Danio rerio: one gene and its partner. The protein of the gene in region 1 purifies or fractionates together with the protein of each later gene. This does not show direct contact. Links are inferred from orthologs where the notes say so. Each region holds a gene or a part of one and is shown on either strand. Other genes may lie near its edges.

Region 1 (4,477 bases):
CAGTTTTTCACAGGGTATTATTTAAGCTGTTCTTTTCTTTTTAATTCTCTTTTTTGTAAATTGTATCAATGAGAGTTCCAAGAATATTCATGTAATGTTTCCTTTATTTGCCACAGGATGCTGTGAGGAATGGTCTTGTGGCCACAGAAGTTCTGATGTGGTTCTACATCGGGGAGATCATTGGGAAGAGAGGCCTCATTGGCTATGATGTATAAATGTGGACTGTCCTGCTTGCTTGTTCTCTTGGCTGAGCTTTGTCTGTTTTCTTTATCAGATTCTTGGAATCCAGGAACGAAATAAATGAATATTATTAACGAAATATCACCCTTTTGAGGTTCTTTACTTCCAGTGGACATATTTGCCACTGTATAACGGTACAGTGAATTAACAATAACGTTTAAGCTTTGTGGTTGTCAATCGTAGATCTATTTAAAGTAGAATCCATGCATTTTCCAATTTTTACACTAGTTTAGCGATTTCAAAGAGAGCCCTTATTGAAGGATACAGAATCTTTCCTTTACTCTTAAATCAAGGTGATTTTAATGCGATTGTATAATAAATTGAATCGTGATCACATTTTGACAATATAATTGGCGAACAGAGGACTAACATAATTTTTTTTCATGTATAGACTTATCTAATATACATAAAGTACAAAATGTGTATTATGTTATAATTGACATCTCTTCACGTTCTTGGCTTTCTGATAGCATCCGCATAACTTTTCCCAAGTATTTGTTGAACTCCTGTCGGACCTCTTCAGGCTCTTCCTCAAGGTTTGAGTGAATGAGAGGCAGTTTGTTTAACTGTGGAGCTGCAAAGAAAATACATTATAATAATGTCATATTCATAATGGATACATAATGTCATGCGTCCAACAAATAATGTATATGATGAGGTGCCCAGAGGTTTACAAAAGTATCTTTCTTTATTCAATCAATCATTAATTTATTTAATGTAATGATAATTTCTTAAGTCAATCATTCATTAATGTATTTAATTATAGTTTATTTAATCAATCTTTTTTCCTAGACACGTTAAAAGAACTGATGCTATAAAGATACAATAGTCAACATCTAAAGTGGATCAAAACCTTTTATCAAAGTTGTCCTAAAGCTATTGAACAACAACTATTCTTGTTTTGGGATGATTTTGAAAAACTTTTTTTGATCCACTTTAAATGTTATCTACTATAGTGGAAGTTACCTAATGATGGACGGTTCGTGTCAGCCCCACTCCCTGGTTTATGATGTGCTATGAGTAAACACTGGCCCTCCAGCAGCCCTTGTGATGAGATGAATGCAGAGTACCAGGTCTCAATTTCCTTTAGATGACTGGGCACATCTGGGTTAAATACAACAGCTACCCCATTGGAGTCTTTCATCAAAGCTGGCCAGCATGATTCAAACCTGTGCACATACAATACTGAATGAATTCACCAAAGGAAAAAAATGAACAACTTTGATTGAGCAAAGTGGTTAATATTTAGTCCACTTACTTAAAATCTCCCGCACAATCCCACAGTTCCACATCACATGATGAACTTTTGTTGCCATTATGTAAATTGTGTGATTCAAACTCAAGAATCCTGAAGATGGAGAATTAATATTTGAGTGTCTAGTAACAACAAAACTGTGTACAGTTGAAGTAAGAATTATTAGCCCTCCTGAATTAATAGCCCCCCACAGTTTATTTTCCCCCAATTTATGTTTAATGGAGAGAAGATTTTTTCAACAAATTTCTAAACAATAGTTTTAATAACTAATTTCTAATAACTGATTTTATTTATCTTTGCCATGATGACAGTATATAATATTTTACTAGATATTGTTCAAAACACTTCTATACAGCTTAAAGTGACATTTTGAGGCTTAACTAGGTTAATTAATTAGGTTAACTAGGCAGGTTAGGGTAATTAGGCAAGTTATTGTATAACGATGGTTTGTTCTGTAGACTTGGAAAAAAATACAGAATAAAGGGGCTAATCATTTTAACCTTAAAATGTTTTTATTATTATTATTATTATTATTAACTGCTTTCATTCTAGTCAAAATAAAACAAATTAGACTTTCTCTAGAAGAAAATTTCATCAGACACACTGTGATAATTTCCTTGCTCTATTAAACGTCATTTGGGAAATATTTGAAAAAGAAAGAAAATTCAAAGGGGGGAGAATAATTCTGACTTCAACTATGTATATATATATATATATATATATATATAGATAGATAGATAGATAGATAGATAGAAGATTTCAGATTTTCAGATTTCTTTAACTATAGAGTATATTATACTACAATACACCACAGATAACTAACGTTATAGTAAATGTATAGTGTACTTATAAATATATTATTTCTATATATATATAAGTTCTTTAAATCAACCCACCTAACGCCTTGTGTTGGGCTGTAATCAGCTCCGATTGATTCCGTTGTATCGGAGAGAAAATTGGCCAATGCTGTTTTCCCACACTGACAGTAAAATATATCAATCAGTGATGAACAGTGAATTAATCATACACCGCATTTTACTGACAATCAAACTGCTTACCTCGCTTGGTCCAATTAATAATATTTTCACCTTAAACATGGTGAAGTACGTTAACGATAGAAGCAAGGCAAAAATACTATTCTGCTTAGCAAACGAGATAACGCTATCTTCTGTTATTAAATTAACATTTCTACTGCGTATACGTTAAAAAAGACAAATAAATAAAGCGTCAAATCAAAGCGACATTTTAACAGACATCGACAAGCAGCTAACGTTACATAAAGCGTACAATGAGCTAAAGCTAACTTATGGCTGACATAAACATCTCGTTTCCAAGGCAATGATGCTAGAGTTTAAACCTGCAGATTCGCCAAAAAGCTAAACTCGCTAAAAACTCGCTAAATTCGCTTAAAAACGACATAGTTGGAAATATGAAGTAGCTAGCAAAATATGAGTTCGTTTTTCTAACTTAACAAACATAAGATCAGGGTATAAAAGTTAGAAAAAAAACAAAGGCATAATATTACAACTTGTTTAACAAGGGACATGTATGTTTGACCTTTTAAGTATTGGCAGACTTTTTACAAGTATATTTTTTCAGGTTTTTCTAAACCAGTTTTAGTTTTTGAAACTTAATCATAAAAGGTTGCTTTATGTCTGAAGTGTGGGAGTTGTGTTTCCTCTAACAGCCACATGAGGACAGCACACATCTGTTTCAAATCCGACATGCCTGTGAATTGAGCGAATTCCGCACATTTTTGTCTTCAGTAAAGTCATCTGCAAACACAACACCTGTACGGCCAAGGAAAGCAGGTTTAACAACTAAATAGGTAAGTTAACACAGAGCTGCTAGCATAAACTATGACAATGTGAAATTATCCAAAGACCTCGTTCATAGTAGGCCTACCTAAACCACACGTAGCTAGTTTCAAGGAAAAAAACTTTACCCTAGAAAAACTATAAAAGTGTGAAGTTCTTTGAAAAAATGTTGAGAAAACTCGTTCATATCAGCTGTATGATTCATTGCTCACTGCTGCAGTATAAACACGCTCACCCACAGAATTGTTTAGCAGCTTACAACTAATTCTCAAAATAAACATCTTTTTTTTTTTTACTGAAAAAACCTGTTTTACACGCACACTGGTCAACAAGACAGTGACCACTGACCTCCAAACGTCTTATCAGTGTGTGATTTTTTTTTTTTTATTGGGTGAAATGAACATTCAAAATGAATGCTAGTAAATCGTTGAGTTTTTAGTTGTGTTGGAATTTTGGTCTTTTGGTTTGTTGTATTTTTCTGAATATTTTAGGAAGGTTTTGGACGAGAGAATTTATGTCCATCTTAATTAATATTAAAGGCTAAAAACCTGAATGTCTGCATAACATACAGTTAATGTCCAACACTATACCAGGGGTCACTAAAATTGGTTCTGGAGGAATGACAGTTTGTCTGGAAGTTTTGAGTACACCCACCTTAGTAATTAAGACCTTGAATAGCTTAATTACTGGCCAAGAGAAGTTTTTCTATGTGGGATAATTTTGCTCATTTATAGTGCATCTGGAAAGTATTCATAGCGCTTCCCCTTTTCCACATTTTTTAAGTTACAACCTTATTCCAAAATAGATTAAATTTTCTAAAAACTCTACACACAACACCCCATAATGACAATGTAAAGAAAGGTTTTTTGAAATTGTTGCAAAATTAATAAAAATAAAAAAGCTAAAAAATCACATGTGCACAAATATTCATAGCCTTTGCTGTAAAGCTCTAAATTGAGCTCCGTTACATTCTGTTTCCACCGATCATTCTTGAAATGTTTCAGCAGCTTAACTGGAGTTCACCTGTGGTAAATTCAGTTGATTGAACATGATTTGAAAAGGCATACACCTGTCTATATAAGGTCCCATGGTTGACAAAGCACAAACTAAGCATGAAGACAAAGGAATTGTCTGTAGACCTCAGAGACAAGATTGTCTTGAGGCA
Region 2 (3,826 bases), on another chromosome or scaffold:
CGTGTTTTATGATGTGTTAAAATAAATTTGAAAGTGCAGTTTTTTTATTATATATTATCTATGCATGCGTAGACATTACATGAAACATTAGGTCATAAACAGTTTATAGAAAAGTCATGGAATTTTAGTAGTAAAAATGTGTATGAACCCTGTATGTAAAGTGCTCTATAACTAGTAGAAGTGTGTGTCTTTAGGAGCTCAGTGGTTCGAGGCCTGCAGTGGTTTTGGAGTCAGATGTTGATGCTGCCGAATGGAATCTGGAGGTGGAGCGAGTTCTTCCACAGCTTAAAGTCACCATCCGCACTGACAATAAGGTTGATGCTTGATGCATGAAAGGTGAATTAGAGACTCATTGGTTGAAGATTGAGTAACGGGTTACTGTGTTTCAGGATTGGAGGATTCACCTCGATCAAATGCATCAGCATCAAGATGGCATCAACACATCCCTGCAAGATGCCAAGGTCATCCATCAGTCAAAGATGTGTTTAAACAGTTAGCAAATTAGATAATAATAAGAAATGTTAAATTTATGTGTAGCATATGATTTTAAAAATATGATTTGTAAAAATGTTTAGAAAGGGTTCTTACTAAGGCAGCATTTACCTGATTACAAATACATTCAAGTAATTAAAAATGTATAAATTATTTCTGCAATGACATGCTAAGTATTTAGAAAACTTTACTATTATTTGCAGTGTGAAATTCAGTTTTGCTTTTGGGAAGTACAACTACAAAATAATTATATTTTTTACAATAATTGTAAATTAAATAATATTTAATATTTTTAAACAACAATGTATTAAATTGATTTGAGTGAGAGGAAAGAAAATGCTAATGTTGCAAATTTTGTGTTTAAAGTAAATAATTTTCTTTTGAAAATTCTGTTTATCTAAAAATTTAGTAACATTGATCAATTGAGGTTTAAAAAAGTAGCTAAAACTGTTTTCAAAGATTATTATATTAATAATAACTCTTAATAATAATTGGTCATTAATGATAGTAATTCAAATATACAAATGAGCATTAATGGTTTACAATCACACGAATAAACAACACTTTTAAATAGAAAACAGTTCTTTTAAATTGTAATAAATTCACTAAACTATAGGAGTTTGCATGTTCCCCCTGCCTTCGCGTGGGTTTCCTCCGGGTGCTCCGGTTTCCCCCACAGTCCAAAGACATGTGGTACAGGTGAATTGGGTTGGCTAAATTGTCCGTAGTGTGTGAATGTGTGTGTGGATGTTTCCCAGACTCAGAGATGGGTTGCGGCTGGAAGGGCATCCGCTGCGTAAAAACTTGCTGGATAAATTGGCGGTTCATTCCGCTGTGGCGACCCCGGATTAATAAAGGGACTAAGCCAACAAGAAAATGAATGAATGAATGAATGAATCACCAAACTATTACTGTTGTTTTTCAATCAAATAAATTCAGGCTTTATGTGCAAAAAAAAACACTGGAATATTGACTAATTCTGAAATGTATATGTGTATATTTTTAGGGTTGTCTGTTTAAGCTGAGGGAGGACATCAGCAAAACTCTGGAGAAAGTGAGCAGTCGTGAGAAATATCTCAACACTCAGCTCGAGCATCTTATTTCAGAATACCGGCAAGCACAATCACAGCTCAACAAGGTGAACAGCTCAACCAATCAAAACCCAAACGGTTATTACTCATAGAGTGGTCAAACATAGAGTTGTCAATTGCAAACACTTTTGTCTCCCAGGTGAAGGAGCTTTATCAGCAGGCCAGTGGAGGTGTCACAGAGAGAACCAGGATTTTGGCTGAGGTGAGTCTAAGCTAGCATGTTTTAAAAAAAAATTGCAGTAGTTCCTTCTTCCTTAATTTCAAATTGACAAATATTCTGAAACATATAAATTAAAGTAGGATGTGATTCGCCAATCGGGGAATTGATTGGTTTGTTGGATCTTTGTGGCGTGCAAATGCTCAATTTCTCATTTGTGACAGGTTGTTTGGTCAGGTTTGGGGAGTTTTTTTTTTCTCAGATGTTTTAAGCAGGTTTAGATCAGGACACTACAATGAAATGGATAGGCCATTTTATCATGTCAGTTTTTTCAGCTTTAAATAACTGCTATGCCCATTTTGCTGTTTGACTCTGCAAAAACTGCTTTTCTAAAAATTTTCTTTTTTTTGTCTTGTTTTTAGTCTAAATATCTATGGATTCTTAAATCACAAAGCATTTTCTAGACAAGCAAAAATTATTATCTTTTTAAAAGAAATAATATGCCAAATTAAGTGAGTTTTCCTTAAAAAAAAAGCTAAAATTAGCAAATGGGGTAAGCAAAATAATCTTTTTTTTTCCTTTTGACATAAGATTATTTTGCTTTCATCTTTGGCAGATTATTTAGCTTGCTTCAAGGAAAAAGAAGAAAAAAGACTAAACAAATTGCTGGCTGATTGATTGAGGGGTCATTAACACAACAAAATTGTCAGCCAAAACCAGGATTTTTAAGTGTTTTGTTTGTGTTTTTACATGGCAGCGTCCTTTTGGGCACTCAAAATGCATTGATTTGAAAACAAAGTGGAGGTTTTGAAAATTTTTCTGTAACCTTCCTTAGCCTTGTTCCTCCAGACAATCCTGTCTCGGAGGTCTACAGACAACTCCTTTGTCTTCATGCTTGGTTTGTGCTTTGGCACTGTCAACCCTGGACCTTATATAGACAGGTGTATGCCTTTTCAAATCATGTCCAATCATCTGAATTTACCACAGGTGAACTCCAATTAACCTGCAGAAACATCTCAAGAATGATCAGTGGAAACAGAATGTAGCTGAGCTCAATTTAGAGCTTCACGGCAAAGGCTGTGAATACAGATGTACATCTGATTTTTCAGGTTTTTTATTTTTAATAAATTTGCAACAGTTTCAAAAACTCTTTTTTCACATTGTCATTATGGGGTATTGTGTATAGAATGTTGGGTAAATAGATAAAGTTCAATAAATCAATTTTGGAATAAGGCTGTAATGTTAAAATGTGGAAACAGTGAAGTGCTATGAATATTTTCAGGATGCACTCTATTTCTGGTAATGAGAGGTTTTCTCACTGCAGGTTGTGTTGTCAGAACAGTTATGCTGTTAGAATAACTTCAAATAGCATAAGCAGTGACCTTGAATTGTGAAAAAACACTTTTAATTAATTCTCTAATTGTAATATTCATTATATTTGTGCTTCAGATTAGCGAGGAGTTAGACAAAGTCAAGCAGGAAATGGAAGAGAAAGGCAGCAGCATGTCAGATGGAGGTACAGTAAAACCACATTCTCACACACAACAACATTGACAGTGCGGTTTGTTTATGTCAGCGCTACTTCACACGTGTCAATGTGTTTTGTGCTGCAGCGCCAGTAGTGAAAATCCGTCAGAGTTTGACCAAGCTGAAGCAGGAGATTGAGCAGATGGATGTTCGGATGGGGGTGGTGGAGCACACGCTACTTCAAGCTAAACTCCGAGAGAAAAACAACATGACCCGAGACATGCACGCTACACATCTCTTAGAGCCCAATGCGCAGGCTTATTGAAACACACACTCACCGCCGATGATGTGTGAGTGTGCTAGATTTTCTATAAAGGTTTTTAATGTGTGTTTTTAAGTGTAAATAACAAAATATGTAGCATTGAATAATAAATTGAACACTTTCATTAGAAACTTCTAACTTGTAAAACTTGTACCTTACATAACTGTCCCCAGAGAAAGAGAGTGGGGTGTTGGTGGAATGATTTCAGCATTACACACACACACACACACACACACACACACACACACACACACACGCACACATGTTGTAACTCTTCCATGATGTCATCCTCGCGCA

The links.
Region 2: the proteins of ift22 (region 1) and ift57 purify together in Homo sapiens (affinity purification with mass spectrometry; 3 studies listed by BioGRID and IntAct, counting the BioPlex papers as one, with this or other methods). This does not show direct contact. The link is inferred for Danio rerio from reciprocal best matches to the Homo sapiens genes IFT22 and IFT57.

Annotation. Positions count from the first base shown.
Region 1 is NC_133180.1:31,319,014-31,323,490, forward strand, and holds ift22 (intraflagellar transport protein 22 homolog), read right to left. Parts: upstream 2,819-4,477; 5' UTR 2,593-2,818; coding exon 2,554-2,592; intron 2,475-2,553; coding exon 2,392-2,474; intron 1,589-2,391; coding exon 1,499-1,588; intron 1,410-1,498; coding exon 1,207-1,409; intron 815-1,206; coding exon 666-814; 3' UTR 521-665; downstream 1-520. Other genes in the region: atp5l (ATP synthase subunit g, mitochondrial), read left to right, coding at 117-215. UniProt on the Homo sapiens protein: Small GTPase-like component of the intraflagellar transport (IFT) complex B.
Region 2 is NC_133177.1:45,219,833-45,223,658, forward strand, and holds the end of ift57 (intraflagellar transport protein 57 homolog), read left to right. Parts: intron 1-194; coding exon 195-314; intron 315-389; coding exon 390-461; intron 462-1,498; coding exon 1,499-1,630; intron 1,631-1,722; coding exon 1,723-1,785; intron 1,786-3,189; coding exon 3,190-3,256; intron 3,257-3,353; coding exon 3,354-3,532; 3' UTR 3,533-3,619; downstream 3,620-3,826. UniProt on the Homo sapiens protein: Required for the formation of cilia. Plays an indirect role in sonic hedgehog signaling, cilia being required for all activity of the hedgehog pathway.